Oryzias latipes: one gene and its partner. The protein of the gene in region 2 interacts with the protein of the main gene of each other region in a biochemical or structural test. Links are inferred from orthologs where the notes say so. Each region holds a gene or a part of one and is shown on either strand. Other genes may lie near its edges.

Region 1 (4,408 bases), on a different chromosome or scaffold from region 2:
ATATATCCACACCCAGCAGCCAATCAGAATTAAGTATTCTTTCAGACCATGGTATAAGCATGTATAAACACTGGGGCTGGGCGATATGGTCTAAAAAAATGTTTTTAATTGATTTCTGATTTTTTCCGATTTTCCCCCCTACCTAAGGAAAGCAATAAGTACAAACGGCAGAAAACTTAAAGCAAATTTTGATTTATTTAATCAAACGCAAGACAAATGTAACCCCCATTTCTGGGATGAATAATAAATAAATGAACACACTCCGGGAATCAAAGTCCCAGCTGTGTTTTAAGTCAGACTTACACCTTGAGAGTAGCACCATTTCTAAAGGATTAACAATACAGCTCATATCTGGGGTCTAAGGTTTTAATTGAATTAATAAAGCCCGTTTTCTCCACAGTATATATGGGTACCATGTCTTTGGCTGTATGCAAAGCGACCGCTTCAGTGATTGTTCTCCACCGTGCCCCTAGGGATGGGTACTGAGCCCCCGTATTGAACGAGCCCCAGAGCAACATTCTTCAAGATCTGACCTCAACGGTTCTGCTATCCGTACTGGAAAAGTCGCATTTTTTCTGTGTCCCACAAGATATAAACTAGAGCTGTCACGGTGTGGGATTTTTGATCACCGCGCTGACGAAGCAGCAGGAGTCGCGGTCAACCCCCCCGCCTAACACAACATCCGGCATCGCAAATGAATACACAAATAAATGTAATTCATAATTGCAACGCAGTATTCTTTATTAACAAATAACAGTAAAAACTAACTACGAAGTAACTAATGAACTAACCATATAGGTGTTGGAGAATGAGTGTGCGTGTCAGCGCACTGCGTGCGTGTGTAAGAGGAATGAGCGCGTGCCGCGCGAGAGTGAGTGACAGCGTGCTGGGGGGGGGGGCGTTCATGTTTGGAGTTACGGATTGAAGGAGAACTGTAATAAAAGGTTTCCCCCAGGTGTTGGAATAGGTTTGTGGTGCTGTTGCCTTTGACTGCGATGGGCTTTAGGCAAATGTTGCAGCGTGGGGGGGGGGGCTCTTCCTCCACGTCGGTGGCAGTAAGCCATGTTGTCGCTTGCTGTTTCGTGTGTGCTATGATGTTGTTGTTTGTCGCTTGCCACATTGCCGTGTGAAACTAACGCTACGGAAGCTCCGGGGAGCCAAAAATGCGCCATTACACAAAAACTCGATTCAGTTATTTTTGAAATCGCCCGTAACAAAAAATTCGAATTAATTCATTCAATCGATTTTTCGCCCAGGCCTAATAAACAGCATTGCGTGTGTTTTTAAAAAATACTTAAACTGATGTTAGAAGCCAATTAACAGGCATATATGTAACCTGCCAAATGATACTTTTAAAAGAAACTGTGAGGCATCACAAAAGTTAGAAATGGGAGGAAAAAAAGTATAACGACAGGTTTCATTACATACATGGAGCCTTTGTCATAGTGGTTCAGCATTATAGCTATAGTTCAGGGAAATTTAAAAAAAATATATACAAATGCTGTGCTTTTTAAAAGAAAATAAAGAGGTAACATACACCTTTTTATTTAAAAAAAAATGCTCCAGACATTTAGTTTACTTTTACTTACTTACAGTTCTATCTCATTTCAAAATAAAATTTCCTCACTTCTTTCACTTTTGTCTCTATTTTGAATTGTATTTATGTAATTTTATGTTTAAATGTGTTCTATAATCTATTTTATAATTTATTTATTTTTTTGATTGTTTCAAGTCTATAAAGCACTCACTGTTGTATGAAAAATGCCCTATAAATAAAGTTTCATTTGATAATTGTAACATTATGCTTACAGGTCTGAAAATCCCCTTTAATATAAAAGAGTTTTAACACATAAAGCAGCGATGCGGCAATGTAAAGCATGACAAGTATAAGTTCCTTCAAACACACCGATGTAAAAAAAAATCCCAAAGTGAAAAGTACTCGAGTTACAAAGAGATGACCCAAACAAAAACATGACAGACGCAGCAGGTGACCGGGGTTTGACATCCTACCCTCCAAATGCGCAAATAGTCTCCACTGGTGGCCAGCAGGTCTGGGTAGACCCCTTTGGTGTCCGGGATCCACATGATCTTGGTGGTGGGGTAAGGGTGATCAAACGTGTTCCTGCAGACAAACTCGGAGCTCTCCTCTTCCAGACCCACCAACTGAACCTGAGTAGAGATATGATGACAAGAAAAAAATAAAAGCGATTCGTTCTAATAAAAAATAAATTAATTAATTAATTAAATTAAATTAAAAAAGGGGTACCATTAAGCATCGATGGAGACGTTATTACGAAGATAATAAACGCAATAACATTTTGCAATACCACTCTAAACATGTACAGAGCTAGCATAGCACTGATTCAAGCGCGTTTGTTCGTGAAGGGTTAGCTGACTCAAAAAACAAAACATAAAACAAGCTACGCACCTTGTTGTTATACTCTTCCACAAAGCTCCCGAGGGCCAGCCGAAAGCGTTTATCCGGACGAACGCTCCAGTTCATTGCGTACACCGTCCATGGCGCCTCGTACTTGTAGATTTCTTTTCTTTTGCCGTGAAGCGACATCCTCACGAGCTGTTGTCTGAGCAGCTAACACGCTAGCCCTAGCTTACTGTCAAATAAGAAAACGCCGCGACGAACTTTTACCGGCTCGTTTTCCTATAATAGAAAAGCATCAAAAGAAGCACGGTTGACTGTTAAAAACGTAAATCTTGTTCTAAAACAAGATTTTACAGCACTTCACTTAACAAAGAGTAGCATTGCTTGTTACGATCTTGATGGCGAACCATCTAACCGACGTATGAAGAACTTCCTGGTTACACTTTCAAAATAAAAGAGAGTTTTTAAAGAGCACTCATTAAAACTTTTAGTGAGAACGTTTGAGTTTATGTTGTTAAATTAAACATGTGTTTTATGAATTTAATTATAATTAAAATAAAATTTACGTAATTTTTTTGCTATGTATTTCTCACTGTCAGGCTGTGTTTCAAAATAGTTTTATTTTTAACGTGTCTACCGGAAGCGAAATTATGTAGTTACGTCAATCTTGATTACTGTCTGCAGTTGTGACCATAAGGGGGTAAATACAGTTTACAGGCTTCAAGATTGTTTTTCTTGTAACATCTTGTCTACATATCCTAATGAATTTTATGTTTATTATACGATGCAGCGTCAATGTTTACTTTCTAACGAATGTGCAGTCTTGTTTCTATGTTTAATTTTGACACATGAACCGGAAGTAAGATTATTCCAATTTGATTGAGCCCTTTTAGTTGCTTTTTCTGTCCAAAAAAATATCGTATACCACACCAAATATCGAACCTCCTTGTGACGGTGTGGCACTGTCAGCTGGTTTTGAAAGGAACTTGTATTTGTTGCTGTCAAAAGTATTCCTAGACAATTTATAATTCAATTAATGTAAAGTTTATAAACCATGGTATGTTAATGAATGGCTTAATTACCACAACAAGTGGCCATTAAAGTCCTCAATTTTTCACCTCTGCTCCCTGAAACATTCCGCTTAAATTCCTCTCATTTAAATGCAGCAACTTTGTCTTGCTGCAGCTGATCTTCATTCCTCTGCATTCCAGAACAAATCTCCTAGATGTTCCTCCACCTGCTCTCTGCTCAGATCGTGATGTCAACTGCAAACATCACGATCTATAGAGGTTCCTTATCTGCCAGTTTGTCCATCCATCATCACAGCAAACAAGAAGGAGCTCAAAGCTGATGGTGCAGTCTCACCTCCAGCTTGAACTCTTCTGTCACACATACAGCACGTCTTATGTCTTCCAGCTCTAATGGATGTCCTGAACAACTCAAACATACTTCTCTATCACTCCAGACTTTCTTATACAAATGACAACTCATCTTGCAGTAAAAACACTCTATTGGTTGGTGATTTAAAAAAAAAAAAAGGAAATCTTGGTGTGTCTTGTTATCTGTCACTGCAAGAGAACACATGCTAGACTTCTGGAAAAAGTTTTCTACATCGTTGCTTTTATTTTGAAAGGCAAGTCATGTCACTGGCAGTTTCCTGTCTCAAACGGAACTTTACTCCAAGGACAGTTTCAAGTTCTTTTCTCCTAACCAGCTTCGCGTTCATTGCTATACTTTATCCTCAAGGTAGGCAGCTTCTTCATTATTTTTGGTTTACACTCTGTTTACAAATCTCACTAAATATATAGCAGTTTTATATTGATCTAGAACACAGGTTTAGTTCAACGTGACAGTGTGTCAGGCTTCCTTAGCTAGCATTAGCCAAATGCTACGTTTGCTAACAGATTAAAGTGAGTGAGAGTTGGGGGATGGGTTTAGTTATTAGGATTAATCTTAATTCTTAGATATGTTATTAATTGATAGCAAAGTAAAGGTAAAAAATTTTTTTTAAATGTATTTGTTAGCAAA
Region 2 (3,650 bases):
TAAATATAACCTCTATATCTAAAATAGAAGTGAAAGGACTCCCACTTATGTGTTTAAATTTTATAAGAAAATAAGTCAAATACGTAGCGCCTTATAGCACCTCAAATATAGTGTTGCTCTCTGCTCATCTTACAGCTCCTTTTATTTCTGTCAGTGGACGGGTATTTCTTTACTTTTCTAAAGCTGGGTCAGCTTTCTTATGCTCTCATATGAAGTGCAGGTTTTAGGCTGTGCAGCTATTTTGCTGTCAGGCTCTTGTGTTGAAAGCAACGTCTAAGTGTGCCAAAGTTCAATTTTATTTCTTGTTTATTTCTTGTTTTCTCATTGGAAAATGGGAGCAGCTCTGCCCTGGCAACAAAAGTAGGCTATTTGCATACTGCGTTGTGATTGGTCTGTGCGTTGATGGGCTTGCCAAATCACGCTGTATCTCTGTGGTGATAGGCTATGCTAATTAGGTGCTGTTGCTGGGATTCTGAATAGTGGTTACTGTGTAGCACTGGTGAATTGTGTTGTCTGGTGAGAGATGCTGATAGCTGAACATGCTATTTAATAATTTTTTGATTCCTTCTGGCTTAAAATGAAGGATGATTCACCGTACAGTGTGGAGATGCTGTATTCTCACCCCTTTTCACTGTTAAACTGGCTGTTTTTTCCCCTTTTCCTCACAAAGGTTGACATATTTCTGCTGTGTTTTGATTTTTTTGGGGTTGTCCTTTGATTGCATTGTTTAACGTGTACATGTTTAACATAGCACTGTGTATAAACCTGACATTTAATTCTTTAATTTACTAGATTTTGCTGTTTTTGTTGGTGTTTATCATCATTTGAGATTGATTATTAACACAAATGTAAATAATGCTGTTAATTTGCATTTATAAATTCCTATAGATAATTTCTTTTCATCTTAAACTAAGCTGAAGTTTTTTTTGTAAATCTAAACAACAAATAATGTTTCTTTATTATATTGTTTTACCTGTAAATAACATAATACATCTTGCTGGCTTTCTTTGTAGCGTTAAATCTCTGATGACCTCTTTTATTTTCCTTTTTCACTTTTGTATGTTTCTCTGTTCAATGACTTTAAAGGGAACTTTAATTTCCTTTTTAGGAGGAGAGACTTCAGCATGCAAACCTTCGTCCGTCCGGCTTGCGCCCTCTTTTTCTTTACACACTGCTGGTCTTCAGATGGCTGCTCCAATGCCCCATACGCACCAGCAGTACAGTGACCGCCACCAGCCAACCACTGACCAATCTGTTACGGTTTTACCGTACAGCGACCAGACACCACAGCTCACTGCCAATCAGGTACAATCACCCTTCCCACTGCCCTTTTAGGATTTACAGGAATAGCTAAACTTAATTGCACACAAAAGTTTGCTCCCTTTTTTTAAACAAGTATCACTAGGCAGAGTAGCTGCATGTCAAATGTCTTTCTGTGTAATTGTGTCACATTGTGTTAACAGCTTTGAAGTTTAAACACAAACCCTGTAAGAGGAACTTTTTACTTCTAAAGTTGTGTTTCTTTTGTTTGTTTGTAAAATGTTGTTGTACTTTTATTTCAGAGGCACATGCCCCAGTGCTTTCGTGACCCAACTTCAGCTCCCCTGAGGAAGCTCTCCATCGACCTTATCAAAACATACAAACACATCAATGAGGTGAGGCTTTGCTTTAGTAAAAGTTCAAATCATTCTTTGACATTTGTTTTCCCCTTGTTTTAAGATGTTTGCTATTTCAACATTCTTTTTTTTTAAATTGGTAGTCTTTATTATTTTATGAATTTGTTGTTCATAAAGATAGATATTTTTAATTTATAAGAAAAAAACATTATTATTCATTTAAAAAAACAGGAATTTTATACATGAAAAACCTAATTTGTTGGAGCAAAATCCAAAGGAACATTTAACATTTCCTGAAGAAATCTCTGCATGTGCTTTTCTGAAATGCATTCAATTTTCTTTTTTTCTTTTTCAGGTTTATTATGCAAAAAAGAAGCGGCGGCACCAACAGGGTCAGGGTGAAGACTCCAGTCACAAAAAGGAGAGGAAGGTTTTCAATGATGGCTATGACGATGATAACTATGACTACATCGTCAAGAATGGGGAGAAGTGGATGGACCGCTATGAGATCGATTCCTTAATAGGAAAAGGATCATTCGGACAGGTGAGGAATTAAAACTGACAGTCTGTTATTTGTCCACTTCTAAGGGGTTCCAGCTTTCTGACCTTCCTTTTTTTGGTTTTAAATCTTGATGTTTAGTGTAACAAATGTGCTTCAGATATAATACTTTTAACATATTTAATACTGGTTTTGTTCAATTCTCAGGTTGTGAAAGCTTATGACCGAGTAGAGCAAGAATGGGTTGCCATTAAGATCATTAAGAACAAGAAAGCTTTCCTTAATCAAGCCCAGATTGAAGTGCGCCTTCTGGAGCTTATGAACAAACATGATACGGAGATGAAATACTATATTGGTAATTTACTTTTGATGTCCCACATACAGAACAAATCCAACGGCTTGCAGTGTCAGCGACTAACGCGTCCAATTTTTGTTTCTTTGCAGTCCACCTGAAACGTCACTTCATGTTCCGTAACCATCTCTGCCTCGTGTTTGAAATGCTGTCATATAATTTATACGACCTGCTTCGAAATACCAACTTCCGCGGCGTCTCACTCAATCTCACCCGGAAGTTTGCCCAGCAGCTATGCACGGCACTACTCTTCCTGGCCACCCCCGAGCTCAGCATCATCCACTGTGACCTGAAGCCCGAGAACATCCTCCTTTGTAACCCCAAGAGGAGTGCCATCAAAATAGTGGACTTTGGCAGTTCATGCCAACTGGGACAAAGGGTATCTACCATCATATATTTCATCTGCTATACAGTCTATGTGTGTTTGTGAGAAATGGTTTGCAATTTTCAACAAAAGCAATGCGCTTTACAGTCACCCTCACTTCCCACGCTTTGTGTTTGTAGATATACCAGTATATCCAGAGTCGCTTCTACCGTTCTCCAGAAGTGTTGCTGGGAATGCCCTATGACCTGGCCATCGACATGTGGTCCTTGGGTTGCATCTTGGTAGAGATGCATACCGGAGAGCCTCTATTTAGTGGAGCCAATGAGGTATAAAACATGATAAAAATATCAAAGACATATGTGGAGCTTATTGATAACAGGAATATCGAAAAGTCACCTTGTTTGTAGTTCTTCAATAAAAAAGTACCCTTAAAACTGGATTTGTAAGCCGTGGTGTGTTCCTACAAGAGCTTAGAAGCATTTTGACATTTACCCTCATTTATAATGAGTGCAAATACTTATTAAAAGATGCATTTGGTTTCTTCAGGTGGACCAGATGAACAAAATAGTCGAGGTTCTTGGCATCCCACCCAATCACATAATGGACCTAGCCCCAAAAGCCAGGAAGTTCTTTGAGAAGCTTTCAGATGGTACATGGAGTGTTAAGAAGACCAAAGATGGCAAAAGGGTGAGTTGACAGCTTTAACGCCAACTGATGGGTGCTGATGACGGAACTGTCTTGTTTGATGTCTTGATATGCACATTAAAAAGCTTTACATGTCTTTGGTTTCTTTGTAGTATAAGCCTCCAGCTTCGCGGAAGCTCCACTCCATCTTAGGTGTGGAGACGGGCGGTCCTG

The links.
Region 1: the proteins of dyrk1a (region 2) and dcaf7 form a complex in vitro, tested with the Homo sapiens proteins (2 studies listed by BioGRID). The link is inferred for Oryzias latipes from reciprocal best matches to the Homo sapiens genes DYRK1A and DCAF7.

Annotation. Positions count from the first base shown.
Region 1 is NC_019866.2:4,064,887-4,069,294, reverse strand, and holds the start of dcaf7 (DDB1- and CUL4-associated factor 7), read right to left. Parts: upstream 2,815-4,408; 5' UTR 2,567-2,814; coding exon 2,429-2,566; intron 2,170-2,428; coding exon 2,011-2,169; intron 1-2,010. UniProt on the Homo sapiens protein: Involved in craniofacial development. Acts upstream of the EDN1 pathway and is required for formation of the upper jaw equivalent, the palatoquadrate. The activity required for EDN1 pathway function differs between the first and second arches.
Region 2 is NC_019871.2:12,327,989-12,331,638, forward strand, and holds part of dyrk1a (dual specificity tyrosine-phosphorylation-regulated kinase 1A), read left to right. Parts: intron 1-1,108; coding exon 1,109-1,305; intron 1,306-1,562; coding exon 1,563-1,655; intron 1,656-1,971; coding exon 1,972-2,160; intron 2,161-2,322; coding exon 2,323-2,470; intron 2,471-2,559; coding exon 2,560-2,846; intron 2,847-2,971; coding exon 2,972-3,118; intron 3,119-3,338; coding exon 3,339-3,479; intron 3,480-3,589; coding exon 3,590-3,650. UniProt on the Homo sapiens protein: Dual-specificity kinase which possesses both serine/threonine and tyrosine kinase activities. Exhibits a substrate preference for proline at position P+1 and arginine at position P-3.